Linked DNA regions of Lytechinus pictus. The protein of the gene in region 3 purifies or fractionates together with the protein of the main gene of each other region. This does not show direct contact. Links are inferred from orthologs where the notes say so. Each region holds a gene or a part of one and is shown on either strand. Other genes may lie near its edges. The genes, in order: serine/threonine-protein phosphatase PGAM5, mitochondrial-like; GA-binding protein alpha chain-like; kelch-like ECH-associated protein 1B.

Region 1 (10,567 bases), on a different chromosome or scaffold from region 3:
CATTCATACAGGGAGGTTTATAATAAGACTGGAATATTGACTAAAGATAAATGAAAGTAGTTGCAGTAAACACTGATTTCACGAGAAAGTCTGTAAAACCAGGCTTAATTGTCACTATATCATCGAGGATCTCGATCTGGGACAGTTACATAAACTGAACTTTGTGAAATCTTGAAATCTCCGCTGAAAAATGTCCACACTGAAGGTCACCAACACAGATAAGCGCACATGGGACAGCGTATTATTACTGCTTAGAATGTCGGCCCGACGCTTGGCCCGAATCCCGTGCTTATTTGCTAATTTCTCAGCAATTACACAATTTCTTCAAGAATCATTTGGCACATGTTTTTTATTTATACAGACACTTTGGTGGTCATTTAATTGGATTCTGTACAAGCTCATTTTGAGATCATTACCACAACTGGCATTTATCTTTAATCATGCATTCCACTATTCGAAACTTTGATCTTTAAGAATTTTTAAGTTGGAGTGTAAATAAACATAATTATAACAATTTTGTTAAAACGTAATAACAAACAGGTGGGTCATTCATAAAGCTGTTTGTAAGTTAAGAGTAATCGACTTTAAGAATAACTGGTAAACCTTTCTTATGCGCTAAATACTGTAATCACCAATGGACATTCAATGGTGAGTATCACTTACCACAAGAAAGAATCACCAGTATTCTTAACTTACAAACAGCTTTATGAAACGGGTCCCCAGGTCGTTGAGTGTGTGTTGGGCTTGACATGTCAAAAATAGGATCATAACAGACCAGTTACCTGCATACAAAGTATCTAATGACGTTGGCATGGCATACAATGACCTCAAAGCTATCCTTCGTCTGTTCAGGGTCAGCTCGGTGGAAGTATTTCCTGAATGCAGCCTCGATCCGAGCTCCATCCTCATAGAACTGCTAGAGAATGCCAAGACAAGGTTGTCAGCAAGAGGCAAGGGAATGTTAAAGGAAACAGATAAGACAGATAGAAAGTGTTAGCAACAAAAAGAACACATTGCAGTTTACAGAAGTACAGACAATCTCATTTATTCCTTTCTCCCCAAATTTCAACTCTCTCTCCCACTTCCTTGCTCATTCTATCCCTCCCCGTCCCTATCTCCCTCTCTTTCTTGATTTATCTCCTTCTCTCTCCCTCTCTCTCTCTCTCACACACACACACACACACACACTCTCTCTCTCTAGAGCTCTCTAAATCTATAAGACTAAGGCGCAAACAGGAAAGCCAAAACATGAACAACAAACCAGATACAGAAATATAACATGTTTTAGCACAGAAATTAGAGTAATGAACAACAGTCAAGTTTTCTGTGATGAAGATCTCTACTAGGAAAAAACATAATCAATAGGAAAATAATGCCTCTAGCAACTAACTTCCATTAAAAAGAACAGGCATCCAGTTATCAAAGGGCAAGTCCACCCCCTCCCAAAAAAAAAATGAAATAAGGAGAGAAAATCAAAACAAGCATGACAGTGGAAATTTCATCGAAATCAAATGTAAAATACAAAAGTTATGATATCCTAAAATTCTGTTTATTTTTCACAAAACAATTATATGCACAACACAATGATATGCAATGAAAGAGTTAATGATGCCATTTTTTATTTCATATTGTATTGGAATTATACAATTTTTCACTTTTTTTTAAGATTTGACAATAAAGAGACAATAGGTTACAACAATACTGATTCCACATGTAGATGTTGAAATATAACTTTGCTTCTCATGATCATGAGGAGAAAACTAAAGTATTTCATGTTTCATATCATAAATCACAAAAGATAGGCCTATAGGCCTACATGTAGTAAGCGGGTGATGCCATCAGTTCATGTTATTTTTCATGCAAGTATATGTATATAGCCGTCCATTTAAGTCTGCATGAGTCACTTAAAGCTAGATTGTGCAAAGCAATTACCTCACAAAATCATTGCCCGAGTCATACAAATTTCTTTCATCCTAAGCGATTCAACTTTAATGATAGGCAAACTTACCTGTATTTCATTAATTCAAAATACCTAATGGTATATTTCATTCATTACAATAAAACACTTTTTTCTAAAGAGGTTCTCATTCCTATCTTCATTCTATTCAGTATAGCATCTGAAACATCAAATGCTCATTGATGTTATCTAACGGGAAAAAAAACTAAAACTAATAATTACATAAAATACATATAAAAGACAAAATGATTTATCAACACAATAATGATCTCACCTTGACTTCCGGTTTCCAATGACCCACTGGTGGTTCAGGGGGTATTGGTGCACCCTCTCTCAGGAGCTCACATGATTCACGAGGTACATCTGGTAGTTGTTGACAGACAATGTTTGCCGTCTCTATAGCTCTGGCCATGGTAGAGTTGATGATGGTGGTATAGGGATGGTTCAGAGCCTTCAGTCGTTTTCCTGTCATTTCGGCTTGCTCCCGTCCTAAAATATTTCATAACGTTTAAATATTTATTGCAAAAAGTTGATATACCATTACTAAAATCCTAATCCTGCAAATTTAGAACGCACTTGTCATTGTGCAAACTTTCAAAGGTTTAGACTTTCAGTGTAACAATTATTGAAATTCAAGAAATAAGGATCATTGACACTTAATCTTTATCAATCTGTTACATTAATCTTTGGTTGAATGAATGTACAGTAATAAATAATAATAGATGGGGTTTGTAATGTGCCAAATCCACTCTGCCTTAGTGTATTATTATTCTTAATCATAAAAAATAAACAAACAAATTAATAATAAAGTAAATAAATAAAAAATAAAGGTACTTGAGGCAGTGCAGGATCAGAGTCTTGCTTTTATATTTTTCAAATGAAATAAAAAAATGTGACGCCTTGTTGTCATATTCCACTTTGTACTTCTAACTCGAGCAGAATAATTCTAGGAAGCAGGAAGTACCTACCCAGTGCAGTGAGTATCCTGACATCATCAGTGATCCCATCAGTGTTGTACTGTCCGTGTCTGATGAGGATCAGATGCCTGGTTGCTGTTGGTTTTGCTCCAGAGAGGCTGGCTGTTGGATCCTTAGAGTCAACCTCAGTTCTGGATGGATCTATCAAGCTTTGTGGGTCTCTCCTGACAATAAGGATATTCTTGAAATTAATCATTGTAGTTTTTGCTTGGAAAAACAATAAGGTATCAGGAAAAGTTAGCAAAGCCCTTTTCTACATTTACAGTGAATGAAATGACAATATTGAAATTGCCTATTCAATGATTCAGAAACATCATAGGGTCTAGCAATACAGAATTGGTTTATAAAGTTAAGTAAAGGGCCTGCCTTGGAATTAACTTGTGCACAAAAAATATTTATTTTTTAGGCATGTTCCTGGCAAAGTCAGAAATTTGGTGAAGATCATAATAGTCCCAGTCAACTGAACAACAGAGCCCAGTCAATTGATGCAGATGAAAAGCCCCGAGAGCCTGCACTTGCAATCACCCTACAAATAAAAATCGCCATACTCAGAATCCAGATAAAAAGCATGCATGCAAAGTCTAGCTTAATAAGTGAATATCAGTCCTGGCCATCCCCGCATAATCAGGGGCTGGGACAAGGCCAACTGACAATTCAAAGAAATCATCAGGTATAATGGTCATTTACAATTGAACTTCCAAGCTTTAAATATCAAAGTTAAACTTCATATAATGTAATTTAAGTTTGTCTTTGTGAAGGATTTTCAGAACACATTTTTCTTGCAGAGCAGAATGCCTCTAGCCCAACACATTTGAAGTCTGCAACCACCCTGTCTGCATTTAGTCTATGCAACATACAAAACACTCTTATTTTTTGTGTGTTCACTATCGATTCTATGATTATGAACTCCATTTGTTTGTGATCCGCTTTTCAATATACATGTAATCTTGAGACTTGAGAAATATTGCACAAGGGAGCTTGAAAACTACAATTTTGAGCATATTTTGGAAGGGCCTTCCATTAGTGGAAAGTACAAAATAGGGCACAAACCTTTCCTTTTCATTAGAAAACAAGATCAATAAAATCATAGTTTCTCTTTTTTTCTAGATATTATTATTAACAGTAAAATTTTGGTTGATAGACACAAAGCCCTTCTAACCCTTCTTCTCTTCCTAGTTTGTTTGGTTTGGCTGGTAACCAGTCAGAAATGACTATTTTTGCCACTGCTTTATTTCTCAGTTTCTTTCAATAACTCCTCCTCAATTTCTCAAACTTTATAATTAACTAAGTTTAGAATAAACGTTTTGCTAGTTAGTATTAGTAATAGTATCACTCAAGTCTCAGAGAAATGATTTTTCAAATTTAACTTAATTTGAAATTTATTCATGAATATTCTACCTCTGGATTCTAGAGTAAGGAGAAGGAACTTGTAAATGAACTTTATATTCGGTTAAGCTCCCCACAAAAATTCAGAATAGAACACAAAACTAACTTGTCCCAGTTGGAATCCCATCTGACACTTGGGTTGTGATTGGTAGTCCACGCCGCCAGAGCTGTGGGGAGGAATCCATCTCGCTCTCGCTGGGAATATTTCATTGCAGCTGCTCCAAACGCAACCCCACTTGAAACTCCAATTAAGAGCTTCGCGGCTCTAAAACCATGATTAAACGATGGCATTATTTCAATCCGGTGCAGAAAATGATTTCAGAATCTGCTCAATCAAACAATTTACCAATAAAATCAAATTAAATGGAAGATTTTCCGTCTCTGTCTAGGTTGTCACGCTACCGGAAGTGGAATGCTTTTTAATGAGTAGACTATTTCCCACCAGTCGTTTTTAGTGACATAAGCCTACATATCTACGTGCTGAAAAAGGTCAACAAAATAAAACTCCTGCGAGCGCGAGAGAAGCCTATTTAGCTATAGGCGAGTTCTGCTCTGCTGCGCTGCTTTACATGGAATAACTAGTTTCAGCTTCTAATGAATTTCTCTCTCATATTTATGATATTTCCCCTTCATATTGATGATGGCAGATGCCTCAGTTATTGAAGAACTGATTCAGTTCCTATCAGTGACAACTAGACCCGATGTCAGGGACACGGCACTCGCGCATGTGACTGGTACGACTGCAAGCAAAGAGGGGCGACTCACCATCGGGACACAGCTCTTGCCCGTAGCCGAAACTGTGGGGGAGCTTATCTGTTCGGATGCTGTGCACGAATCCCACCAAGAGCAGGCTTATCATATTGTGGTCAATTTGTCATCGGAAGATAGCTTTGCAGAAAAACTTGCCCTTGATCTGTCGTACATATCCCATTTGCTGCAGACGATCATCAATCCTTCGAGTCCTTTTGCCAAGCAAGCTTGCATGATTCTTAGCAACTTAACTCGAAACAGAGCTGGAGCAGAACGGGTCTTAAAAATTCTTCAACATGATGATGATGAAAGTTCTGCTGTTGGAATGAACAAACTTGTGGAAGCGTTTTGTAAAGAAGGTTACAATAAGAAGAACTCGAGTCTTGACTATGTTGGACCTTTATTAGCCAACCTAACTCAGCTTACCGAAGCAAGAGAATATATCTTAAACAGAGAGCGATGCATTGTACAGAGGTTACTTCCATTTACTCAGTATAAATTATCAATGGCCAGGAGAAGAGGAGTAGCAACAGCATTGAGGAACTGCTGTTTTGAAACTGGTAATGATTGGAATTAAGGGGGAAAAAAATCTTCAGAAAAGTTTATTTATTACTTGTCCTTGTCAGCAGTCATGTTATTCGCATTTAGTCACGTCTTTGTTCATCTATGAAGTGGAAGTTTGAAATGACCTCTATCGTGATTCTAAATGGCAAAATTTAGGTTTTAGGCTCATATAAGTTTTCCATGTATGCATATTATTTTAGGTGATGACACTTGTCACTTAACGCTTTCTCTTAGAACGTTATAGAAGTACAATGATCTGTTATTTTCTATTTTTTGTATCGATAATGAAGTGAAAAATCAAGTATTACATTCTTGGATAAATTCACAAATTCTTCTTTCTGAGAGAGAATTTTATAGACATGGATGCACAAATAGATACTTATTCATATGTTTTTGTATAATTGTAAATATATAAATATTGTGTACATACATTTATAATAATTTTTTAATCCTTATCCTTACATTTGCCAGCATTTCCATTTGATATATGAGCCAAGTATATTTTCTGAATTAATCTGTTTTCAAACCATTTTTTATCCCTTCAACTATTACTTAGCATCTCATGAATGGTTGTTAGGAGATGATGTGGATATCTTGCCCCATCTCTTGCTACCATTAGCTGGTCCTGAAGAGCTGAGTGAGGAGGATATGGAAGGATTACCAGATGATCTTCAGTATCTTGAGGAGACAAAGAAGAGGGAGGATGATCCTGATATTCGTGCTATGCTCTTGGAAGCAATTTATCAAGTTAGTATTTTTCATTTTTCTTTTTTTGAACTTCTAGATTTCTTCTTTTTTGTGCTAAAAATATTCAGATAGTGTTGAAATTGAAAGAAAACTGTAACCCCTTGCTATAAAAATTGTTAAGAATGTATGTAGACTATTACTGAAAAAATGACCCCTTTTCCTTAAAATAAGTCGATAATTCTAATGATGGAAAAAAGATTAGGCCCGCCAATAGTACCTATCTAATGATGGATGGATACAGCTTCCATAGTCATTAAATGCATGAAATATATGATTTTATATATAGAATATCATAGTAATTGATAATTTGTTTATTATTCTTCCTGATGAAACTAGATAGTCCAGTGATGACTCTTGAATGTCTTCAATAGAGTATACAATTTCAGTGAGAAATACAAGTTCATATTTGATATTTTCAATTTTGAGTTACACATTATATGTAACGGGTTACTTCAGAAATTAGTTGTTCAAATAAATAATTATAATAATAGATGCTTATATAGCGCATAATATTCGACAGAATCTCTGTGCGCTTTACAAAAGAGGTAAGTAAGTCTAATACAGGTATACTTGAAATAAAATACATAAATACTAAATGAAAGATTAACAAAACATTGTAACATACCTTTCCTAAACAAAATAATCTAACGTGAGAACAAGTCCGTTTTTAAAGATTTGAGAAAGGTGGAAGTACATGTGATGGCCCTCAGATTATTAGGCAGTTTATTCCGCAGTACAGTATATGATTTAAGTCTATGGATATTTTTCATCTCCTTTCATGTAGAATGAAAATACATCAAGTCTTGGTTAACACAAAATTCATTATTAAAAGTTTGTCGTCATTTCTTTCAGCTCTGTGCCTCAAAGGAGGGTCGGCGGATCGTGAAGGAAAAAAGGACATATGTGATCCTGAGGGAGTATCATCAGTGGGAGAAGGATGAGAAAGTTGAGAGTCTGTGTCATCAGGTGATTGATGTCCTCATCATGGATGAACCGCTACCAGGAATGGAGAATCTTAGGGATGTGGAGATACCGGAGGAGATCAAAGTAAAACTAGATCAAAAGAAGGAGGTCGAGGACCAGCAGAAAGATTAACATTTGATTTTTTAACTTAGGGTGGCATTAGTTTTTAATTATTTATAGTCTGTGTCATATGTTCAGATGTGTCTTTTGATAAAGGATTAAAGATCTAAGCAAATGAGGATTATGAAAGGAATGAATTTGTTAATAAGATGCCAGGTGGGTGTTTCATAAAGCTGTTCGTAAGTTAAGAGCGACTTTAAGAACGACTGGTGATCCTTTCTTGTGGTAAATGGTATATTGAATTGATGATGGTTTAGCGTGTAAGAAGGGTTCACCAGTTGTTCTTAAAGTTGCTCTTAACTTACGAACAGCTTTATGAAATGGCCCCCAGGGATTATAATTTGATGAAGGGGAAGTTCACCAGAACAAAAAGCTTTTTTAATGAATGAAAAAAAAAAATAAAGAGAAACATATTAACAAAGGTTTCAAGAGAATCCATCATACTTAAATAAAGTTTTTAGATTTTAGATTTTGTGAGGTCACTTGAAGGCAGGTGCCCCATATTCATGTATACATTCCATATATTTACATTTTTTAATGATTGATAACAGAATATTCATCTCATTGAAGCACATGTGATATAATGTATGATGATATTGAATGCACAAGTATATAATTTCTTTTTTAAGGATTTTATGGAATCAATATCATAGCAAAGAACTGCTAATGAAATTATAATTCAAAAGCTCATAACTTTCCTCAGTGGATTTTCACTAAATCATCATTAATGTAATTCTGTTTTCTAAATTACTGCTATAAACAACTTGATTTCAGCATGTTCACTGTATGGATGCTACACATAGAATGAATACATTCTCAAATTCTTATGTTTATGGGATACTGAATGTTCAGATCATGATCTAAGATCGAAGATTACCTTAAGTTGATGTAATTTTTCCCTCTTGAATAATGCAATGTTTCTCAGTTGCATGGCCAAGTCCTCTCTTGTTTGTACTCTCTTCTTTCCTTTCTACCCAATTTTTAATCAAATTTCCCTCCCTTTTTTTTTCTTCATGACTTAAAAAATCATGGGGGGGGGGGGGGGGTTCTACCCACTGTCCCCTCCTGGTAGCAACGTCCTTGGTACACTCCTTGTAGCAAAGTTGTTTTTCTGAAATCAGTAGCTGACATGTCTGAATTCTGTTCATTTCTAGATATCTTCATATTTTAACATATCTGTCTCACAACCTTTATTCAGAATAATGTATGTTATTCAAAATTATGTTATTGTATCAATGTGATTGTTCAGATTACAAATCCTATGTTTACACTTATGAATTGTTCAAATCCATTTGAGCTAGATCAAATAATCTTCTAGCAATAATTGTATGCTGTAATCTCTCTTTTATTTAAAAGAAATACAAATTATGTAATAAAATTACGGAAATGCTGTCATATGATTATTGTTTCCCATGTTATAATAATACTTCTTATATACCATTGCCTATTAGCTCAATTTGAGGAATATCTTCTACCTATATCTATTAAATTTATTTGGAAATGAAATGGTAAAATTGGTATGACCAGAAAATAGAGAAGAAAATAAAGCAGAAAGTGGCAATTTTTTTTTTTTTTAAATTAAAAGAAAGATATAGCTTGTATGAATGTTTGGATTGTTGTCAAGGAACATGGTTGAATGTTTAGAGCCCCTAACTTGACTTGGCGTTTTTTCATTGACTCGTTACCTCAACTTGGGCCGATAACCTCACTTGTTCCCAATTTTAGTCGGGGGAACGAGAAAGTAACTTGTGGGAACGTGTTACGAAAAAACGTCATGACACCTTAATAATTATGTATGATTGTGTGTTTACAGGTGAAAAGAAAACAAATTAGAAGATGATAGAATGAAGAGAGAGGGAGAAGGGGTGACAGAGGGAGAGGGGGTGAGAGACAGAATGAGAGGGTACATATGTCATTATTTCCTTCATCTGGAGCAAAGCTCCTAATAGGTTTGCGCCCTCATAAGACCCATATTTGGCATGACCCTCATCCGACCGCTAAATTGGAGAAGTTAGTTCGCACATATAGGTCCATGGTTCGCAGAACTAATTAAAGAAATAAAGAAGAATGCATGCATGGTAACATTATATACACATCGATCGTAATAAACATGCAGCTATTATCCAGCCGATTTAAAGATGTGTTCCCTCAGCTCTCACACACTGTATTAAATTTGATCAGTTCTCGACTAACGCCCCTTGATTCACTCGTCCATTGACTCATTCATGTCATTCATTATTATGAATATATAAACTTATTCATTTGATTTATGTGTTTGCTTAAATTCGTAAATAAAAATGAGATTATTTAATTCATCTATTATTAGTTTTCCTCTATCCGTATTCATCGATTTATCTATACATCTAGTTAGTCTGCCTTTCTCCACAATTAAAACAAAATTAAACAACATGCCTAAATTTTACGTTTTTAGTTCGTGAATTTGCGGTGTTTCTTTAAGAGAGTTGATTAGCAACAATATACTATACTTTTCATATAGATTCGACAACCACACTCCTTTTGATAACATTGGTTTGTTGGATATACATGTAGCTTTTTTATTTATCTATAAAAGAAAGGTTTATCTATAACTTTATCCATCCAGTAATCCATACATCCATCCTCCTATCTATCCACCAATCCCTCTATCTATCCATCTATCTGTCTTTCTATCTACCTTTCTATCTATCTATCCATCCACGGAGTCCAACTATCGATCTTTCTATCTGTCTATCTAACTAGCTATGTTTATAAGGTTTAAACAATAATAAAAAAGTTCAAGCAACTTGTATTTAGAGTGAGGGCTTAATAGCATGCTTAATAGTTTTTTTTTAACATTCTATCTATCTTTCTTTCTATCTATTTATCTATCTTTCTATCTATCCATCCATCCATCTATCTATCTATCGATCTCTATATATCTTTCTATCTATCTATCCATCCATCCATCCATCTATCTATCTATCTAACTATCTATGTTTATAAGGTTGAAACAATAATAAAAAAAAGTTTAAGCAACTTATATTTAGAGTGAGGGCTTAACAGCATGCTTATTAGTTTTTTTTACATTCTATCTATCTATATATCTTTCATTCTATCTATCTAT
Region 2 (10,770 bases), on a different chromosome or scaffold from region 3:
CACGTTCTCAAAATTTGTTATTTCACTTTCTGTAATATGATTTCAAAAAATAAAAGGAAACTTGGATGTGTTTTGAAAGCATGTTTATGTTTTAAATCAGTCTAAGAATATGAAAAGCATGTTTACATTTTCGTCTTTCCATTGTTGTGCATGCCATGGGTGTGATACTGTGATATGAATACAGCGCTGAAGGATCGGAGGAAACACAAGACTAAAAAAAAAAAGACCACGTGTACGCATGCAACATCACATCGAGGTACTAGGCGGAGCTCCATGCTGGCCGTCCTGATATGATGACCTGGGAATTCAAAGATTCAGTGAGCTCGAGAGAGAGAGAGAGATGGGGGAGAGAGACTGACTACGGGTACCGTACGAGGGGGAGAGAGAACGGGGGGGGGGGGCTGAAAGGAATGAGAGTAACGGTTTATGTTACTTTGAAATAATGCCAGATCGTAGCAATAGGGGGTCCGGGGACAGGGTAGTGATGTGCGTAGAACAATACATGCTGGAACTGAATTATTTTCGTGCGTCTTATAAGAAACGAAAATTACATGCTTTTTAATAGAGTATCAATGTTGATCTGTTATTATTTTGATTGAACTGGGCAACTATTAGTCGACATATAAAAGTGGGCTTATTCATTGCAATTTTTTGTCTCATAGGTCAAGTAGGGGATTTTTTTCCCCCGACTAATACATAAACCTAGTATGAGTTTTCGAGTTAAACAATACTTCTGTAGGTATGAACATTGTGTTGGTGACAATAATGGCGATGAAAAATATAAAAGTAAATGATAGGAAAGAAAAGTAGAAGGATCATGGCTGGTACACATCCCTGAATAATCATCTTTCGTAAGGGACGTACCAGATACCAGGGGGGGGGGAAGCTGGAAGTTTGAGTTCATGCAATTTTTTTCCTTTCTTTGAGCATTTTTTCCCCATTGAGACAAGGTTTTTTTTTCACCTTTGAGATGATTTGTCAGTGGACCAAGTTTTTTTTTTAACTCTGATGTTGAGTCAATTTTTTGATGTTGCTCATTTAGCAAGTCAAGTTTTTTTCAAACTTCCAGCCCCCTCCCCTGGATATCTAATGGTGCACCCCTAACAAATATGAACACCCTTTCCTGCCCACATCTCCTTCATTGACAACTTTGACCCCAGGGACGAGACTTGTTTAATATTTTGGAAACATCCACTTGAGAAAATCCCCCTAATCGACTGGTGTGCATTACACTCCAGTGGTTTTGTAAACAACGCTCGTGATATAAAGGAGATCTTGTCAGATGATAAATCCAATCAGCATTGAGTGCCGTGAATGGAAATTAGAGGGAACGATTCTCATTGGTCAATTCCAAGCAAGGAGGGCAGGGCTTCGCCAAAATTTACGAGCTAGCTCCAACTTACGGTCCCGCATGTCAGAGGGTCAGAATGAAGAGTTTTTCCCCCTGATTTTTTTTCCATCATCCCACATTTTCACACAGAAACATCAACACACATGATCTGTTACCAAAGTTGGGAACAGAAGCAACCAATCTCCTCGCAAAGCGTGAAAACTCCAATGTCAATTTCGATCTTTTACTTTCTCTTGCCTTTTATTTTTCGCTTGTGTTAATATAACTTTTAGGCCTGCATGGGAGTAAACATCGATTGATCGAATGGCGTGCCGCCAATCGCCAATCAATTAGCAAAATTTACACTAATCGAATGTTTGGCAGATCCCGATTATGACGTTGGGATAAATCGAATACCCAAGTAATAATAAAATGACAAGAAAACAATGATGACAGCGGTTTTTGAATACTTGATACAGGTTTAAAAATGATGTTACCAAGGTAATTTTTGAAAAATTATCAATGATTGTATCACATTCACAGTTACACACCAACACGAAAGAGCTCCGAAAATGTTAATCCCACCCGACCTGGCCCTCGATTCACAAAATAAGTCATTGTCTGCATGCTCAAAACAGAAAGTAAACACACAATCAGCTCACTTGAGCTGATTGGACCTTCGGCTTCGATAGCCAATGAAACTTTTGGGGAAACAAAGAAGAGGCCTAGTGGTTCCCTTATCAGGAAAGGTTGTGACTTCAGAAATAAATTGACCCCTCCCCCATCTGTGTGTGAGGGAGAGAGAGAGAGAGAGAGAGAAAGATAGGGGGTGGGAGCCGGAGAATTCCTTTCATATTTAAAAACAATGCAACCTTTTTTATATCCCGCTCATACAATCAAAACGACATTCCATCACGCGCCGCCTTCACCAGTACTTTCTCGATTAGTCTAAAAAATAGACCCAGTTATACATGTAGGTTCAAGTGATAAAAATTTGTAATTTTGAAAGGTATTTCAAATGAAATATTTTGCAAAACATTTTTTTTAAATACATGTGTAGCATCGTGGGGAATGCCACAAGTGGGGATGGGGACATGGTGTGGGCAAGGGATGATTTTTTTCAAGTGAAATGCTCCACCTGTGTGTCAGTCTCAAAGAATACTTCATGAATGAGTTGTTAAATACTAAGATGTCTTTGGGCTTTGGACTCGGCTGATCTGGGCTGATTCATTCATATGCAGGGGTGTGGCACTTGGAGGGATGCATGCATAATACCAGGGTACCAGCATTGATTTAGGAAAGATTTTCATTGGAATGATAAACTGAAAGATTTAATCTCATTTCATGTAATTTCTTTTGATATAAAAATCATGGAGAATGGGGGAAAGGGCCTACTTTCATTTATGATAAACATGTGACTTTGATGGGGATTTCTTCATGGGGGGTCACTATAAATATTGTGACTTAAAAGATGTGATTCCTGACGAACAGTCGAATCATTCAATTAATTTTTTCAGGAAATAATCGAATGGTAAAAATGACAATCGTCCCAGGCCTAAAATTAACTTTCACCCTTTTTTTTTGGGGGGGGGGGGCAAAGGGTGCTTTGAACGAAACAACTGCTCCAACACTCTGTTTCCCAATTTTGCTGTTACTTCAACATTTAATCATTCCTATTTTCATGATCAACGCTTGTTGAAAAAAAGAGCAACAACAAAACAAACAACAAGAAACAATGACTTCATACAAAAAACATACTTTTCTTACATTTCCGTCAGGCCTAATCAAATTTTAAATACCCACAGATAAAAGTTGGCATCATTCCACGAGGTTTACTCTCTGCTCTCTTTTTTTCTTCCATTACTCCCTCCGTCCCCTCTCCCCATCTCTCTCTCACACCTTCTCTCCAACTCTCTGTGCGGATTGGATCGGGAGTGTCTGCGTTGGCGTATTTATTAGATGAGCTCCGATGCTCCCTCCCTCTCCCTCTCTCTAGTGGTCGGCCGGGCTTTGGCTTGTGATGACGAATTTACAACATTATATGGGCGCGCTGTGAGGGCGGGAGATCCATTCTAACGCTGGTAGTGATACCAACCAGCTGGGTCATGTCGGCGTAGAACAATCGTAAATCACTGCCTTGCTTGACAGTGAAACCCAGACTTCCAGGGGATGAATAGATATGTGAGTAGTGCTTGGCATGCATGGGGTCAGCTAAGGACAATATGGGTCTGTTTATTGTGCTTGATAAACAAATAGCAAAATCCGATATTTACTGCCGATATTTTCGACCGATACCGATCATAGGGATAAGTATGTGCCCCCGATCATCCGATCCGATCAGAGCTCTTACTTACAGGGTTAATTGTAAGTCCCCTAATGGTGGCTGCACGATAGCGAGCCGTCTGTGTATGAGGAGAAATTTAAAAAATAAAAAAATGTTAAAAAACTCCTCGAAACAGACGGCTGCCTGCTGTCTAAACTGGTACCTGCTTTATTTTTTTTTCTTTTCATTTATTTTTACCCCAGTCTCCCAGAATTTTACTCTACAACTTCTCACAAAAAGTCCATTTGTAACCTTATTTAAAATTAAAGGTCCCTATCGTACCTTGCATGGCCCTTGCATTTTCGTCATAACGTTAGACATATCATTGAAACAACAACACATGCATTGTGACAAACCAAATTTAAAATTAAATGCAGAATGTTACTCAACGTACATGTACAGACAGTACAGAAATATCAACAAGTGGGACTGCATAGAATTTTTAAGACGCCAAGAACAAAGCAATTAGACACGTACGGAGATATTGAACCATACTGTGACTTTATTTTCTTCCTACTTACCAATACGAGTGGAAATTAACTGGAATTGTGTTTTCGCTAGCAAGTTAGCAGAAGTACCCGCTTAATATTTTCAAGTATTACGGTCAAAAAGGGCTTTAAATTCACAGCTTCCGGTTCCGATGTCACGGCTTTGACTCAAATTCGGCGACGCAATTTTCGCAACGCAAAATGCACGTCTAGTCGACTATCTACAATGAAGAGTTTAGATGCAAAAGGGGTTTATTAGGACGTTATCGGTCCACTTTTGGACCATTCCGAGAAAAACCATGTTTTTTATTCTCACTTATTCCAATATTCTTATGAGAAACTTAATTGTCATGATGTACTACCCTATCATGAGAACATAAAATTGGGTATAAAAGAAATCTACCTGCATGTCTTCAATTTTTTTCAAGACCTATATATATATTTTTTTTAAAATTATCATTGTGGACCTAACCCCTTTTGCAAGTAAACTGAAATGAATCCAATCTCTTTTGATTAAAAAAGAGATTTTTCTTTGCCACTTTCATATTCACGTTTTCATTTGAATTTCAAATTGTCTTTGGTACCCAGAAGGAAAAACCAGTTAGACCAGTATTTTTTTTTACTGGTTTCCAGTATATTTTTACTGGTTTCCAGTATATTTTTACTGGTTTCCAGTATATTTTTACTGGGCCAGTTGATTTTTAACTGGACCAGTAAAAATCAACTGGAGACCAGTTCCAACAACTGCATTCCAGTTGAAGCAATACCAGTTAAATTGTTCTTCCTCAAACTGATGCTACTGGTCCAATAAATGGTTTCCAGTAGATTTTTACTGGTTTCCAGTATATGTTTACTGGACCAGTTGATTTTTAACTGGACCAGTAAAAATCAACTGGAGACCAGTTCAAACATAGTAGTAATACCAGTTAAATTGTTTTTCATCAAACTGGTGTTGTACTGGTCAAATAAATAATGACTTTATTTCAAGTCAGATCATATGATTATGGAAAATGAATCTTGCAATTCAGAGACAGTTATTACTGTTATCATTTATCATTGTTATCATCATTCTTTTTATAATTATCATAATTATTATGATTATTATGATCATTAATTTTTGTTATCATTCTTATTACTGTTATCATTGTTATTTATATTGTAATTATTATTATTAATATTATCATAATTATTAAGTATTAACATTGTTTCCTTTTTTAAATGATTAAGATCAAAGCAAGATATATTCCTCTGATAGAGTCAACTGGTCTAAAGTAATTCATTGTTTGAAATTGAACTGGTCAAGACCAGTAATACCAGTATTTCTGATGATGCTGATCACGTGGTTTACCTCATTTGCATATTTCCTGTTTTTAAAAGAAAAATCAGGATTTATGATATCCTTGCAATGGCACTCATTGTTGTTTAAAAACTTTCAAAATAATTGGTGAACTAATTCACAATGAAAATGTGTAATTTCATACATCACATTTAAAATAACAGCAGAAAGATTAATTTACTAACCATCTTTTCCATCACATTTCACTGACCATGGTATATAACAAACCAAATGCATGTAATAATTGATCCAGTAAGACCAGTACGAGGACCAGTTTTACCACTTTGAGGACCAGTCAGACCAGTAGAAAATACCAGCTGAAATTGGAAACCAACCAGTATGAAGACCAGTGAGACCAGTAACAACCACCAGCAACAATAGACCAGTACAAAATTCCAGTAATTCAAGACCAGTTTAATTTTTAACTGGACCAGTAAAAATTTAACTGGACCAGTATGACCAGTTAGACCAGTAAACCGATGTTCCAATTTCCAGAGTTACCAGTTAAAATTATACTGGTCTAACTGGTCCAGTGGAACTGGTTTTCCTTCTGGGTATCATCAGAGTGACAAAAATTAGAGACAGAAAACAATAAAAATTTATGAAAAATGGACTAAAATCACTGTACTAACCCCTTCTGACAAATGAGAAGAGTTTGGTTAGGTCACTCCAAGAAAATCATTTTTTTAATTCTCCCATATCGCAATTTTCTTGTGCGAAACTGAATTTTCGTGATACCCTACCATGAGAACATAAAATTGGGTATAAGAGAAATCTACCTGTCTTCATATTTTTTAAGATATTCTTTTCCAAAAAATCTTATTGGACCTAACGTACCCCTTTTGCAACTCAACTGAAATGGACCAAAACCCTTTTGAAAAAAAGTGATTTTTCTTTGCCATTTAAGTTCACTTTTTAATAGGAATTTCAACTTTTCTTTGGTATCATCTTATAGAGTTACTACAAATTTTAATCTATACATTAATTGAGACATAAAAATCAAATTTGATGAAAAATTGACCTATAACCCTTTTGCAAGTGATCGAGCTCTTAATATGGGTGGTTGGTGTATTTTTTGCTCAAAAATACTGTAGACCCGACTGTAGCCCCCCGATCCGGGGCCCCAGATGAACCCAGCCTATGGCACCCATTCTAATTAGGGTGTGTATAACTTTTTTCTTTGTTTTGACTTTTCTTTGATTTTACTTTGCATTTAATTCTAACCATTAATTTCATATTGCTTATTTTTTACTTTGACTATTTTCCAGAGAGAGATCAAAGGGTTCCAGAAAAGGCCCCAATTCTTTGACTTAACGCTGTAATTCCCCGATCCGGGGCCCCAGACGGACTCAGCCAATAAACGGCACCCATTCTAAGGTGTATTACTTTTTTCTTTGCTTTGACTATCTGGGTTTTCCGAGGAAAGAGGGTTCTAGAAAAGAAAACCCCCATTCTTTGACTTTGACTGATTTTTTTCCCCTTTAAAGGTTTCAGTGGCGTAACTACGAAGGGACACGTGCCCCCCCCCCCAAGTCGGCCGCCCCCCCAAAAAAAAAACAGGGAAAAAAGGGGGAGAAAGACCGGGGAGAAAGATAAATGTGTAGGCCTATATAGTGGGGGAAGAAATTATTGTACTACATTATGTTATATTATTATAGAACATGATAAATATTTGTTTCATAACTTAATGAAACATAATTTGCTAAGGGGCTGTCATAATTCATGGTGCTCGATCGCATTGTCTGTTTAATAAGATATATAATCTTAAAACATCCCGTTATCAAACCAATATTTTACTCGCACTCTGAGTTAATTTAATACGTAGTTTATGCTTCCTTTTCATGACTACTCGGCGTTAAAGTGATCCCCTTTTAAGGTCTGGATATAAAACATTTCCAGTCCGCTTGCATCAGTGGATTGGTCTATATGTCTGCTCTTCATGAATTCCTGTATACAGTCTTCATAAATGGCCCTTTATAGTCTGAATATAAAAATTTTCAGCTCGCGCTTCGCGCTCGCATATAGTGAAATACGTATGGTCTTAGTGAATTCTTACAAACAAACCTTAAAATTAATGCCCCTCTTCGAAAGAAATAAAGAAATGAAGAAAGAAAGAATGAAAGAAAGAAGGAAGGAAAAAGAAAGAAATAAAGAAACTAAGAAAGAAAGAAAAAAAAAAGAAATAAAGACAGAAAGAAAAAAAGAAAGGGAAAGTGAAAAAGTGAGAAAAAAAGGGAAAGAAATAAAGAACAAATAGGGAAAACGGGAAGGAATGTCGGAAAAGGAAGGAGAGAAAAACATATGAGGAAGTACAAATTTATCCTGAAATACTGGCATCATTAGCAAGAGAGAGATAATAGAATAAAAAGATATGTTCCAATGGCACGGGCAAGAATGGCAGCAAAATGGAGAAAGAGGTAAAAAGACACGGGAAATGAAAGAGCCAAGAGCTAATTTTGAAAAATCAGAATAATGAAGCCAATGAACAAGACAAAAATAAAAGAAATTAAGAACACGACCTAGCTGGCTGCCAAGGATTAAAAAATATAAAGAACGGAATGGCGTCTATAATAAGCTTGCTTAATTTCATGCAATAATGGTCGCAATCAGGACCCCCAAAAAATCCTTATTAGCCATGCAAGGGCTAGTTATATCCCCTATATTATATTCAATTCAATTCTTTATTCCATTTCCATTCAAAACATAATACAAAGTAATATAAAGTAATACAAATCAAATACAATTTTACAGACAAGCATTCTTACAGTATAATAAACAGTATAATATATGTCCCGAGTTATATACCGAATCAAAGCTTGACGCTGGCTAGATTGACGTAAAAAGCCTCTTAATGTTTACGTTGGCTATTATTTTAAAGCTGTACTATCCGATTAGAATTTAATTTCAAATTTAGAAAGGCCAATTTTTCTGGCTCGCTTTGCTCGCTGGCGACTTTACAAATTTTACCACATTGCTACGTTGTGCTGCCTCAAAATATTTTGTATTTTATCCTTAACTGTTGTGCATGTACCCGCGATTTGATAAAAAAAGTGGCCATCTGCAATGTTTAAATATTTTACGAGGTTCCGGGGCTCCGCCCCAGACCAGAGGCGGCACCAATAAGGGGAGACACGGGGTAAATGTTGTCATAAGCATCCTACTAAAGCTGCAAAATACTCCAAAACAGCTCATTCTTTAAATTTTGAAACTTTTCTCATCCATTCATTGTTAGTTCCCAGCTTATAAATATTTCAGGTCATTATTATTATAAAATGAAAATTGTCGTTCGCGCTACGCGCTCGCAGTAATTGTTGACTGAGATAAGAAAACTTGTCTGTTCACATGGGGCTTAAAAATCCAATGTTCAATTCAATATGCTTCTTGCGATTAGGGTTTTCATTATTCGTTTTTTGCGAGATACACATTGGCCTGCGTATTGCAATTTCATAAATCAAAAATGTTCAGCCAGCGCTGTGCGCTCGCATCAATAGTCATCCAGTTATGATTACAAAAAGTGCTTAGAACGTCCACTGAGTTATATCCTCTAAGGATTTCAAAAATTTTCAGCTCGCGCTTCGCGCTCGCATTATTTATTATTTTAGTGAGATATCATCTTCATGACCCAATGCAAACAACTAGTCCTTAACAAATCCATTTTAAAGTCAGTAGGGTCTACATTAAAACAAATATTAGCCCCCCATGTTCTTTTGCCTCCCTCCTCTAGGTTAAAAATCCTGGTGCCGTCATTGCCCCGGACCCGATCCGCATAGCACTGGCCCCCAAAATTGATACAACCGAGAACAAAAAAGAAAAGATGAAAGAAAATGAAATGAAAGGAAAAGGATTAAAGGAAGATATAAGATATGATGTTATTTTCTGCATACCATGTCAAATAAATCTTAAAGTTAGAATGTAATGAAAAGGTGATTTTTTTTTCTCGCTCGCTTCGCTCGTCTCGGGACTTATATTAAGGAAGTTTTTGCCACGCGCACCATGCTGTACCCCTAATTTTTTGAACTTATCTCGCATTGAGCTTCGCCCTAAAAAAAAAAAAAAAAAAAAAAAAAAATCCTGTTCATATCATGATATGACCGGGAAAATTTGGCTCTTGCCCCCCCCCCCCCCTGACCACCAACCCATGTTACGCCCTTAGTAGAGTGTTAAATCGGGTAATGCCCGTTCGATTTTTGCCAATCAAAAGTTTTAAACTGAAACAGTAACTCTCGTGATTATGGGCAGTCCCAAACGATCGATCATCAATTGGCATGCATGCTTTGCCTGACATTTCACTATAGATCTCGCACGTTGCTTGCCTCATTTCTTAAATACTTTTAAGACAAAAATCAAATTTTTGTGATGTTACTAGTAGGCTTTGACATAAATGTATGATTCAGAAAATAATCCCGTCGCCATTTTACCCTTCTTTTAATTTCCTTTTCTATTTTATTTTTTCTTGCATAGTCGCGAAAATTGGAAAATATTAAGTTTCTAAAGAATCTAAAGAAAGATGGAAAGAAAGAAAGAAAGAAAGAAAGAGAAAGAGAAAGAGAAAGAGAAAGAGAAAGAGAAAGAGAAAGAGAAAGAGAAAGAGAAAGAGAAAGAGAAAGAGAAAGAGAAAGAGAAAGAGAAAGAGAAAGAGAAAGAGAAAGAGAAAGAATTAATGAATGTAATGAGGGAATAAATGAGATGAAATGAAACAGCTCTTAAGAAATTCAAGTTTATCAAACTTTACCCAGTCAGTTAGAGGAGTTGGTTTTACATGACCTGGGGCCCGTAACACAAAGCTTAGCAATGATCGTAGAACATTTTTCTACGATTGATTCCATTGACTACAATGTACAATCAATCAATAATGAAAATCAAGTGTACGATTAATCGCTAACCTTTGTGTTACGGGACCCTGGTCTTGACTATAATTATTATTCATAGGGTCGAGGCCTATTGTTTTTTTTAATCTCAAGTTGGCGTAGAACAAACACTGTGCATCATAATGTTATTCTGCTTGGACTATTAACCGCTTTAATATACGACCTAAAACATATTCATTCAATCATTATACCATGTAATGCCTATAAAAATACTTACAAGAGGATTTGATTTTTTTATAGGCCTCAAAATAATAATAGTAACAATAGTCTCTGATCACTTTTTTTTTTCTATTTCCTCCTGCCTTTTTTATCCCTTTTGGCTCCTTTCCATTGTCTTATTTTTTGATCGAAAATACAATTTTTATAGGGAGATAGCAATATTTGAATATCTATTTATCCACCAAAAGTTATGTTTTTCTCCATCT
Region 3 (10,709 bases):
AAACCGCAGCATACATGTAGGCATTCTACACCTGTCGTGTGGAGTAGTGCGCTCAAAATGTGCGAAGATCGCGTCCCGAAGAACGATTGTGTCCTCACTTACACTAAAACCAGTTTAAAGAGGCAAAGCGATCTTGAAAACCACATCGCGAGGTGGTTTTCCGAACTGGTTTGGAAGATCGCTTCCAAGACCGCTTCGACCGTTCTCACTACGCGTTAAACTAGTTTCCACTAAACTAGTTTCCAGTAAACTAGTTTTAGGAACGTAGTGAGAACAGCCTCATATACATGTAGTCATGTTCAGGATAATGGAGGTTTCATTGTAATGTAGGCCAACATGTACACAAAGCATAGTAGTGGTGGAAACTGGGGGTTTCCCCAAAAGAAGCTTTACATACATGTCTATTGCCCCACCCTCTGTAACTATTCAACTTTCAATTTGAGCAATGAACTTGTGGTTAATCGTTTCACCAAGGCCAAAGGTGTGGTATTTAAAATGTAGAGGAACTATTTTAGCAGAAATGTGCAAATTTCCTTTCCATTCACATTGCACAATGGACAAGTTGAGACTAATGAAAATTCTTCAGATTTCTTCATACTAGTTTTACAGTGTGGATATGACTGTGTATCATCTATTTGATTGGAATTTCCACTGCTCTTCATTATTAATTTTGTATCATTTGTTTGTCATATAATATGAAAAGACAATGAATTGTCAAATGTTCGAATCCAACAATAAATGAAAATACTAGGAGAAAATGCATTTTGTGTATGGAGTGCCTGTACTGCACCTTTAACGGGTGCCGAGTCACTGCAACGAATTAAATCCGGAAATGTATAAAATCTAAATAATTCCACTCTCCCCGGATTCAATTCCTTTTTTCAAGTGTTTGTGAATCCATACAGAATTAGATTAAACTCAGGTTATATTAACATTAATTTGGCTAATTGTGCACAACAACCTATGAACACAAACTGTGTGGATCTAGAAAACCTTGAAGAATTTGGCATAATTTCATGAAATTTACTTAATACAAATCATCCAAATTAGTGGGTTGGAAATAAATGGATTACCGTAGCTAGGTTAATCAGATTCCTTCCCAACCACTTTCGGAGAGCGCATGGAAATCGAGCAAGTCGATCCACTACAAGCCCACCTGGACCACTCCATATCTCATCCAATTAAAGGACCTGGGTTTGATCCTCGACCCATCTGCTATGAATCATTGCAAGATATCTTGTGGAGTCATTCAGGTCACTGTGAGACAGAATCTCAAGACTGCTGACTCGGCATCTTTTACTGTGCGCTAGGTTCTGTAGGGCGACCCGAGTGGCTGTTCGTTGACACCGATCGCTCGCTCGGGTTGAAATCAGGACCCAGAAAGGGGAGTGAACGCTTCTTGATCTATCATTCCTGGGACTTCTATACTACATGTATACTACAATACATTTATAGACTCTTTTTTGTGGGCCCTACATGTAAATCATTTATACTCCTATTTTTCACTGCTTAAATAACAATATGCTAAAATGACAATAATCAATACATATTCTGGTCTCTTAAGATATGAAGTTTGAATATAATAATAAGTAAAATTCAATAATTGCAGTTCCATTTTAAATGTCTTCACAGTTGCCAATTTTAAGAAAATAACATACTTTATCAGAGATCACAATTCCCATTCTCTTTCTCAGTTCGATAGTAATTGTGTGGCCGGCATTTAGGATCAGAATAAGAATTTATATTTTTTTATCAGAATGTCGAATGATTTTTGTATTATTGCCTAGTAGTAAGCACAAAACAGTCTGCAGCTTAATAAATCTTAATCAATGTATAATTACTCATATTAATGATTTTAATCTTCACCTACATGCAGTTGTCATTACATGTATTTTGATTTAAGATACTTCCTCTCAAAACAATACAAATAGGCCTACTTCCTCTCAAGACTATCATGTATATGAGACAACCTGAATTTAAATAGCGACAGAGTGTTATAGGGTAATAATAAATAAGAAGCAGGCAATAAAATATGCTCCATGTGCCGGTACATGTAGGTTTTATAATTACAAGCACGGATGGTGGAACTGTCACATTTATCATTTACTTGGTTACGTAAGGATGATCACTGCCTGGCTCGGTGGTCTTAGGTTGAGTCAGCATATTTTCTCTACTCTCAACTCTCATTCTTGATTTTATGATAAATGCCAGTTGTGGTAACGATATCATAATGAGTTCGTACAGAATCCAATGAAATGACCACTAAAGTGTCTGTTTGTATTTATAAATAAAAAATATGTGCCAAAGGATTCTGGAAGAAATTGTGTAATTGCTGAGAAATTAGCAAATAAGCACGGGATTCGGGTCAAGCGTCGGGCCGACATCCAAAGCAAGAATAATACACTGTCCCACGTGCGCTTGTCTGTGTTGGTGATCTTCAGTGTGAACATTTTTCAGCGTAGATTTTAAGATTTCACAAAGTTCAGTTTATGTAACTGTACCATATCTAGATCCTCGATGATACAGTGACAATTAAGCCTGGTTTTACAGATTTTCTCGTGAAATCAGTGTTTACTACAACTACTTTCATTTATCTTTAAAATTCAAATTTAAGATTAGTCTATATGTCTAGTACCCCCTAAACGACATTTTCATTTTTATTTGAATTTTTTTTATTTCAACTTTAAACATTTTCGTTAAAAAAAGGGGATAATCAAACACATAATTTAGAAATTTAATGATATGATAAGAAAGCTACATAGATTTATGTACAACTTGAATTTTTGGGGTCCATTCCATGCAGGTAAAAAAAAATATGTAGACACTTTAACTGGATCGGGCACCCAAGTCAATCATATTTCGCATAAAATCTCACACTTTATCCTGTATTACAAATTTATTCATTCATCTAGTAAAGAACTGGAGTAGTGACATGCACTACACAAAAGTAAGATGTGCCTCTGCAGCTCTGAGATTTAAATGCATTTAAGTAAGTACTAGAAACCATGTACCAAAACAAGGAAATCAATGAGGGATATTCTATCAGTATCACCCAAATTTATATAAATATAAATGACTATTAAAAAAAAACAGAACAGGGAGGCCTTAATTCAGGCATGATATCCAACAGGGCCTATACATCATCAAAATATGCTGACACATTTGGTATAAAATTGGAAAAGTATGTTTTTGATTCAAATCAATTCAATACCATATGATATAGTAAAAAAAGGAAATAAACTTGTCTTTCAGTTTATACATGGCCTACAAATATGAAAACAAAACTGAAGAAATTACACTTATATACACCATGGTTTCTTCAATCATGCAAAACAAAATTAATCTTCATCATACAGGGTAGTTAAGACAAAATATGATACTGAGGATTTAGAATATGTTTTCTTCAAAAAATGAGTAAAACATACCACTCTTGAAATAAATTCCACACAGAGACAAGACAAGAATAAAGTATTCCAAAATATTTCTGCAGTTGATAGATCCGCAATATTCAGAGCAGTCCAGTGACTATTCCGTGATTATTCGTTACTTGAAACACGAAGCACACCTCAGAGAATCTTTCGATGTAAATCACATACATGTACTCGTAAAGGTAAACAAATCCTGAATATAATGATGCACATGTATTCCAGCAATGCTATTTGGCGATAAACCAGAGGTATACAATGAATTATAAACACACAAAGATATCCTGCAGGCCGAATTGAATTTAGTAGTTCTGAAATATGACAAAAGCCGGTTTTCGTCTAGCAAGTGTAAAGTAGGATACTGCCAAATTATTCCGAGTCATCTTGCTTATAAACACCTTCAACTTGCGGCGGCGGCTACGAGCCAACCATTTTACGGTTGGGACTCATTCAACTGCCTACGTATCTCCCTTCCAGAATGCATCGGCGGGTAGATACGTGCGCAGGCAGGAGTTGGGAGTCCACACAGCATGCACGACCATGGCATGACTGTGCGTTTATGACAGAGTGTGTGTTGTGTGTATGTGTGTGTGTGTACGAACGGTGCAATATGCTATCGCCTGCAGGTGAGGGTCACTGTAGCATGTTATCTGATCAGTCAGGGTTTTGAGTGTGGAGTATTAAAGAATATGTGACTCAGCATTATTCTACACACACAATCACTCCTAAGTACCTTGGCTATAGGACACCTACTATTGATCACGGAATTATGCTTTGATCCATCTCCCTGTCCAATGGAAATCTATTGAAGCATAAAATAACTGATACAAATGCTCTATCTAACAAATGAACCAAGTGAATGGGAATTAAGTCAATTATTCCCTCTCTTTATTTGAAAAAAAAAAGAACCTGGTGGATAAGATGCCTGGCTTCATCATAGTGTTGCAAAGACACATTTTCCATTGGATTCATAAAAAGTGGGTCTAAATAAACAAGTGTCAGTTAAATCCCTTCTCAAGACTAGACTCAGACAATGGGATATATCAAACACCAGTTTCCATAAATAGAATATTCAAACAGGAACTACTTGAATTGCATTATGTAACAAAGAGAAAGTGTACTAATACAAATCATTGAGAATTAATAGAAGAGTTACTTGTTTCACATGTTTACTTTTAATGATTGTACCAATAAAACCACGATTAATGTATAAGTCCTTCTGTAAACTAATAACTATATATATGAAACTGCTCAAAACTGGTGGAGAACTGCCACTTTCCTAGCTGTATAAAGAGCAATTTGACATCAGCATAGACTCCCCTTTAAATTATAAAGATGTGAAGATGAGAAAAGAAAGAAAAATTTGTGAAGATGTTTCCTTGAGACAAACCAAAGTTGGAAATTCAGAAAGCAGCACACACCCGCTGCCATGGGGTGTGTTTATACTTACCTTTACATGAATGTTTAGAAACGTAAAACTTGGATTTAAAAAAATCACAATTGATGGGAATCTGCTTAACACTGTGCAAGACAACGAGTTGGAAAAAAACCTAGCTGTTGTGCAATATCCATGAGTTGTATGCAGGTGCACATCGTCGCTTGAGTTTAAAATTTTGTAATACATATTTAAAAGAAATAAATGAAATACAGATAGCTAAAAAAGAACTTGATTCCAGAGTTATAAACATAAAGAACCCTTCCTTTGCCTAGAAAGGGTTCTCAACAGGAAATAAGAGACTGTTTCCTGATAATATGAGGTTGCTCCCACTGCCATATAATAATAATAATAATATAGGATTTGTATAGTGCACATATCCACCTTGCTAGTAGCCTCTTGTTGAGGCCCTGGCGGCTGCTACCCGAGCGAAGCGAGGGATTTCCTAATTCGCGAAGCGAATTAGGCCTGGCGCGAGCCAGGGCCTCTTGACATCTGAACCGAATTATATATTCATGAGGAACGTTTTCCTAATGAATATACATGAGTCATGATATTACCGGTCACCGAGTAAACCAATGAAATGTCAGAGCTGTTTCGACTTGGGTTTGGAATACTATAGTAGTCCGGGATAGTAGTCCACTATTCTGCAGGGGATTCATTTAATTGCGGGACACTAAAGGGGATATAACCAGCAAAATGCTACAAGTTGTGGTACTACTACTACTACTACTACTACTGGCCGTAACAGACCCATCACCGCCCCGAAACTTCCCAGGAGATACTGCTCAGCCGCTGGTCAGACTCGAGTCAACTCCCAGCAACTCCACCCCAGCTTCCTTCACTGCATGCACTGTACAGCGGAGATTGATAATCGACGCCCCGGATCGACCGGTGGAATCGCATGAAATATTAAATTTTTTCCATATCCTGTGGATAGATTTACAAAGACATCTCGTCCTTTCAGTGCAGAGTTAATTTCATCGACTTGCAAATCCTTAAATCGGTCAATATTCAGCATTTTAGAGGCATATTCAATGCTCTTTGATATTTCGTCGTCACTCTTCGCCAAGAATCAAAGGGTCGTTATTCAAGATGAGCTCATGAATATTTAATATGACGTCATAGCAGCCCGCGCTCTCATTGGATGATTTTCACCGACCAGTTTTTGGTCGGTGAATTGGTAAAAACAATAAAAAACAAAAGAAAGTCGGTGAAATTCGGCACAGATGTCAAGAGGCCCTGTCTCGCGGCGCTCTGCTTCGCTCTCTCCCTTGCTTTGCCATGTTCGCTCGGAAAGCAGCCGACAGGGCCTCGACAAGAGGCTACCTTGCTAGGTGCTCAAGGCACTCCTATATTACCCCAGCTAAGCTATAATATACTATACATATCATAAAATACAACTCTTTCTAGTAGCGTACGCAGGATTTTTGAAAGGGGGGGGGGGTTCAAGCTGAATGAAAAGTTGACAACAACAACAAAAAAAAGGTCTTCACAAATTTTGACAAGCCAAAAAAAAAGTCTTCAACATTTTTTTTTTGGGGGGTTGAACACCTGCAACCACCCCCAGCGTACGCTACTGACTCTTTCTGGCCTGCCCTAAAAAATTGTTAAATTTTGAATTACAAGGTTTTAACACCCAAGCAAAGATACATGTATCAAGAAATGTAATGTTGTGTAAAAAATGCATTGATAAGTGATGCAGAGTTATGCCTGGAGGCTGACTTGTTGAAACGATATCAAAGCCAAATTAACCCTTTTTGTGAGTTAATAGCAATGGCATTCAATGCAAGAATAGGAAGAAACAGCATTTTGAAATTCAAACCACGTTTTGCTGAATTTTACTGTTTGCACAAACATGATAAGGGATTAAACCATATCACAATATATTTCAAAAGCACAGGTCTATATACCCCAAGAAAAAAATGAGGATAATGCGATTCTTCGAAACGCTCTGTTGAGTGGGAGTCTATACACACCTATTTTGATTACACCTACTAAATGAAGTCAATCGTGACCCACTGAAAAGAATCGTTTCACGAAATTACATCAGAAACTTGTCTAAAACTATTTTCATGTTTCATACAGAGAATCAAACATTGGAATGCATTTCAGCAGATACATGTACCAGGCGGATTTGAGAGGATGCCGGAAGACTGCTTGAATTTTGCCGAGACTCTTTAAACAAAGCATATGCCGGGGGGGGGGGGGGCAGTCAAATGTATTGCTGAACACACGCATGACCAAATTATTTCCAAACACCCACTAAACAAGTTTTTTCTGTGTGTGCAAGATAACCCCTTAACAAGTTTTTTGTGGGCTTTATTTACACAATTTGGCCCCAAACAAGTTGTCGCCAGAATATGACCTCGGGGTAAAAGCTTTGGGAAAAAACATACCCTAAACAGGTTTGGCTAGTCTTTAAAAAAACATACCCTAAATACGTTTGACCCCGCGATTGACCATTGACCAGTTTTTCAAAACCACCCTTTTTCTTGAAAATCAGTGTTTTTGATACCCTTAACAATTGCACGCGCAGCCCGCGTCCACAGCTGAAAAAAAAAACACCCCTTAAAATGCGTTTTTTTGGCCACGCATGTGAACAGCAATATATTTGACTGCCCCCCCCCCCCCCCCCGGACATATACCACCTAGAGGTTGAGCGTGTTGATACATAAGAGTCTCTCGAATCAGCCAATATGAGCTTGAATTTGGATTCTCTGTATAAAAACACAATTTCATAGTTACGTACATACGTACAGTACATGTACACGACTGTAGCTCTGTATGTTCATCAAACAATGACAATGCATGAAAACTTGACACTCTAGCCAACCTATTTTTACAGGCGAACGATAAGCCAAGGCAGACAGTATATTTGACTAAAAGATTTTCTGGTACCCAGCTTTGAACTGTGAGCTTTATTCAAACGATGATCTGATGAAATGCAATTAACACTCTACAAAGTGTTGAGAAAACAAGCTTTATTCATCCCCAAAGTATAGATATCCTCCTTAGAGCAAATTAGCATAGAGAGCAGTTACCAAAACAGTTATAAATACAATGGGTGTATCTTTTTGAGAAAAAGCTAGTTAGTACTTGAGCTTAGAGCAAAGAAATGAACTTAGAGCTACATGTAGCTAACAATAGCTAACAATCAAGGTACAGGGGCAAGGTCATGAAGCTAATGGAACTATAGATATCATTATCATCATCATCATCATCACCATCATCATCGTCAACATCATCAACATCATCATCATCATCATCATCATCATCATCATCATCATCATCATCATCATCATCATCATCATCATCATCATCATCATCATCATCACCACCACCACCACCACCACCACCACCACCACCACCACCACCACCACCACCACTACCACCACCACCACCACCACCACTACCACCACCACCACTATCATCATCATCATAATCATCATCATCTATCATATCACAATCCATATCTTGAAAGTCCAAGGTACCAACATTCATTCCCACAAAGCAGGCCCTGATATCAAATTGATGAATTGCAATATTACTGTACTGCCTACTTATTCTGAACATGATATGGCATATATTTCAGTTTTGAAAAAAAAAAACGCAATCCACACTGATTTCATTTTTTTTCCATTCCAAAATACACTGGATCAAAGGCAGCAGATTGGGTTATATGTAAACAAAGCACCCAACAACGGAGCAAGTCCAATACATGATAAATTCTGCAAGTCATGGCGATTTTCTATCTTGAAAAGCACAGTCCCTGGGAGTTGATACATGTACAAAGGTCTACATATATTGTGCTGACATCCAGGGTAAATCCAGATACATGTATATTGGTAATCGTAGTTATGTAACAATAATAAATGAGTAAGATTAATAATTATCATAATTTATCAATAATTGTTAACAATCATGAATTTAGTGACAAACACGTCTTGTATGATTAGGTGTTTTAAATTTCTGTGGTGTACATACATGTAGGATCATCAATCTAGCTTTAAAACTATACATGTAGATTGTACATTTACAATACATGCCTGTACATTTAAAAGGCATATGTTTTCTGATACCCCTATTGCCGATGCAGCTAATGTAAAATAAATCCAAATGAGCTGTAGTTTCATTGTAGAGACCGATCGAATCCTGGATTTACTTTCAATCCTGCAATTATTTTCAAATCAAGGGATCTGAATTAAAATCCTTTGAGATTAAAAAATGAATCTTTGGGATTATAAAACTAAATCCAGAATTCAACTGGTCTCTAACTACAGTCCATTAGGACTTATTTTGAATTCCTGCAATTCAGTGTACCATAATGATTGATAAGCCACGCTATATCCTTGCTGCACTCATAAAAGATAATGCAGACATTTCTGAATTGTGTAAGTTTTTATTGCCGAGTCGAATCATTCTGATCCGTATTCAATCCAGACATAGAGGCTGTTCTCACTACGTTCCTAAAACTAGTTTACTGGAAACTAGTTTAACGCGTAGTGAGAACGGTCGAAGCGGTCTTGGAAGCGATCTTGCAAACCAGTTTGGAAAACCACCTCGCGATGTAGTTTTCAAGATCGCTTTGCCTCGTTAAACTGGTTTTAGCGTAAGTGAGGACACAACCGTTCTTCGGGAAGCGATCTTCGCACATTTTGAGCGCGCTACTCCACACGACAGGTGTAGAATGCCTATGCTGCGGTTTCGAATTTCGCGCGAAACATGTCACCCCTATGAGAGCGTTTCCATAGCAACAAGAGCGCTTTACGTGAAGTGATTTTGAAAACCACTTTCGTGTGATCAAGTGGGAACGCTAGCAAAGCGATCTTCCAAACTGGTTTCCTGAATCGGTTTCCAGTAAACTAGTTTTAGAAAGCGTAATGTAAACGGCCTCTATATCTACACTTGTTTACTAGTGGAACATGAAAGGAGTACAATACTATATAGGCCTATTAGTCTTGTGTGAATGCAGCTATTCTCGACACCCCTTGAAAACTGAAGCTATTTTTAGCATCCTCCACCCAGTAAACATGAATGTGTATCAAGGTCAGGTACTGAACATTCGAACACAGATGCTGACCATACTGGTAATTACAATAGGTGCTGATGATAGCAAGCTTTGCCACATTTATCAAGGAATGGGGGGGGGGGCAGTCAAATGTATTGCTGTACACATGCATGACCAACTTATTTCCAAACAACCCCTAAACAAGTTTTTCTCTGTGTGCAAAATAACCCCCTAACAAGTTTTTTCGCGGGTTTTATTTACACATTTTGGCCCCTAAACAAGTTGTCGCCAGAATATGACCCCTAAAAAAAGCTTTGGAAAAAAACACCCTAAATATGTTTGACCCCGCGATTGACCATTGACCAGACCAGTCTTTCAAAACCACCTTTTTTTTTTATCGGTGTTTTTGATACCCTTAACAAGTGCATGTGCAGCCCACATCCAAAACTGAAAAAACACCCCTTTAAATGCATTTATTTGATCAAGCATGTGTACAGCAGTATATTTGACTGCCCCCCAGGGAAATTTATGCACAAAAGAGATCAATATATTTAATGATGCAAGGAGATAAAAACCTTGATCATTTCAAGTAATTCTACAATGATAGTCAATGGAGATGATTCAAAAGGCAGGTAGCTTCTTTTATCCAGGGACTTCGCCTATGACATAATGCAGTAGGCTTAATAATGAATCTCAAACACTTAAAATTTTTGTTTTTTTGCATTTTATTAAAATTATTACAATCAAACTAATGTCTCAATATCTACAACCAAGTTTTTAACCAATACTACTCAAAGCAAGTTTGCTGGCGTGCTGGGAAAATTATTGTCTGTCATTT

Evidence for each region.
Region 1: the proteins of kelch-like ECH-associated protein 1B (region 3) and serine/threonine-protein phosphatase PGAM5, mitochondrial-like purify together in Homo sapiens (affinity purification with western blotting; 6 studies listed by BioGRID and IntAct, with this or other methods). This does not show direct contact. The link is inferred for Lytechinus pictus from reciprocal best matches to the Homo sapiens genes KEAP1 and PGAM5.
Region 2: the proteins of kelch-like ECH-associated protein 1B (region 3) and GA-binding protein alpha chain-like purify together in Homo sapiens (affinity purification with western blotting; 3 studies listed by BioGRID). This does not show direct contact. The link is inferred for Lytechinus pictus from reciprocal best matches to the Homo sapiens genes KEAP1 and GABPA.

What each region holds. Positions count from the first base shown.
Region 1 is NC_087246.1:20,739,550-20,750,116, forward strand, and holds the start of serine/threonine-protein phosphatase PGAM5, mitochondrial-like, read right to left. Parts: upstream 4,735-10,567; 5' UTR 4,612-4,734; coding exon 4,427-4,611; intron 3,099-4,426; coding exon 2,926-3,098; intron 2,447-2,925; coding exon 2,232-2,446; intron 917-2,231; coding exon 783-916; intron 1-782. Other genes in the region: protein HGH1 homolog, read left to right, coding at 4,958-5,630, 6,191-6,381, 7,234-7,476. UniProt on the Homo sapiens protein: Mitochondrial serine/threonine phosphatase that dephosphorylates various substrates and thus plays a role in different biological processes including cellular senescence or mitophagy. Modulates cellular senescence by regulating mitochondrial dynamics.
Region 2 is NC_087252.1:18,355,724-18,366,493, forward strand, and holds the start of GA-binding protein alpha chain-like, read right to left. Parts: upstream 4,326-10,770; 5' UTR 4,175-4,325; intron 1-4,174.
Region 3 is NC_087255.1:5,857,443-5,868,151, reverse strand, and holds the start of kelch-like ECH-associated protein 1B, read right to left. Parts: upstream 4,020-10,709; 5' UTR 3,426-4,019; intron 1-3,425. UniProt on the Homo sapiens protein: Substrate-specific adapter of a BCR (BTB-CUL3-RBX1) E3 ubiquitin ligase complex that regulates the response to oxidative stress by targeting NFE2L2/NRF2 for ubiquitination.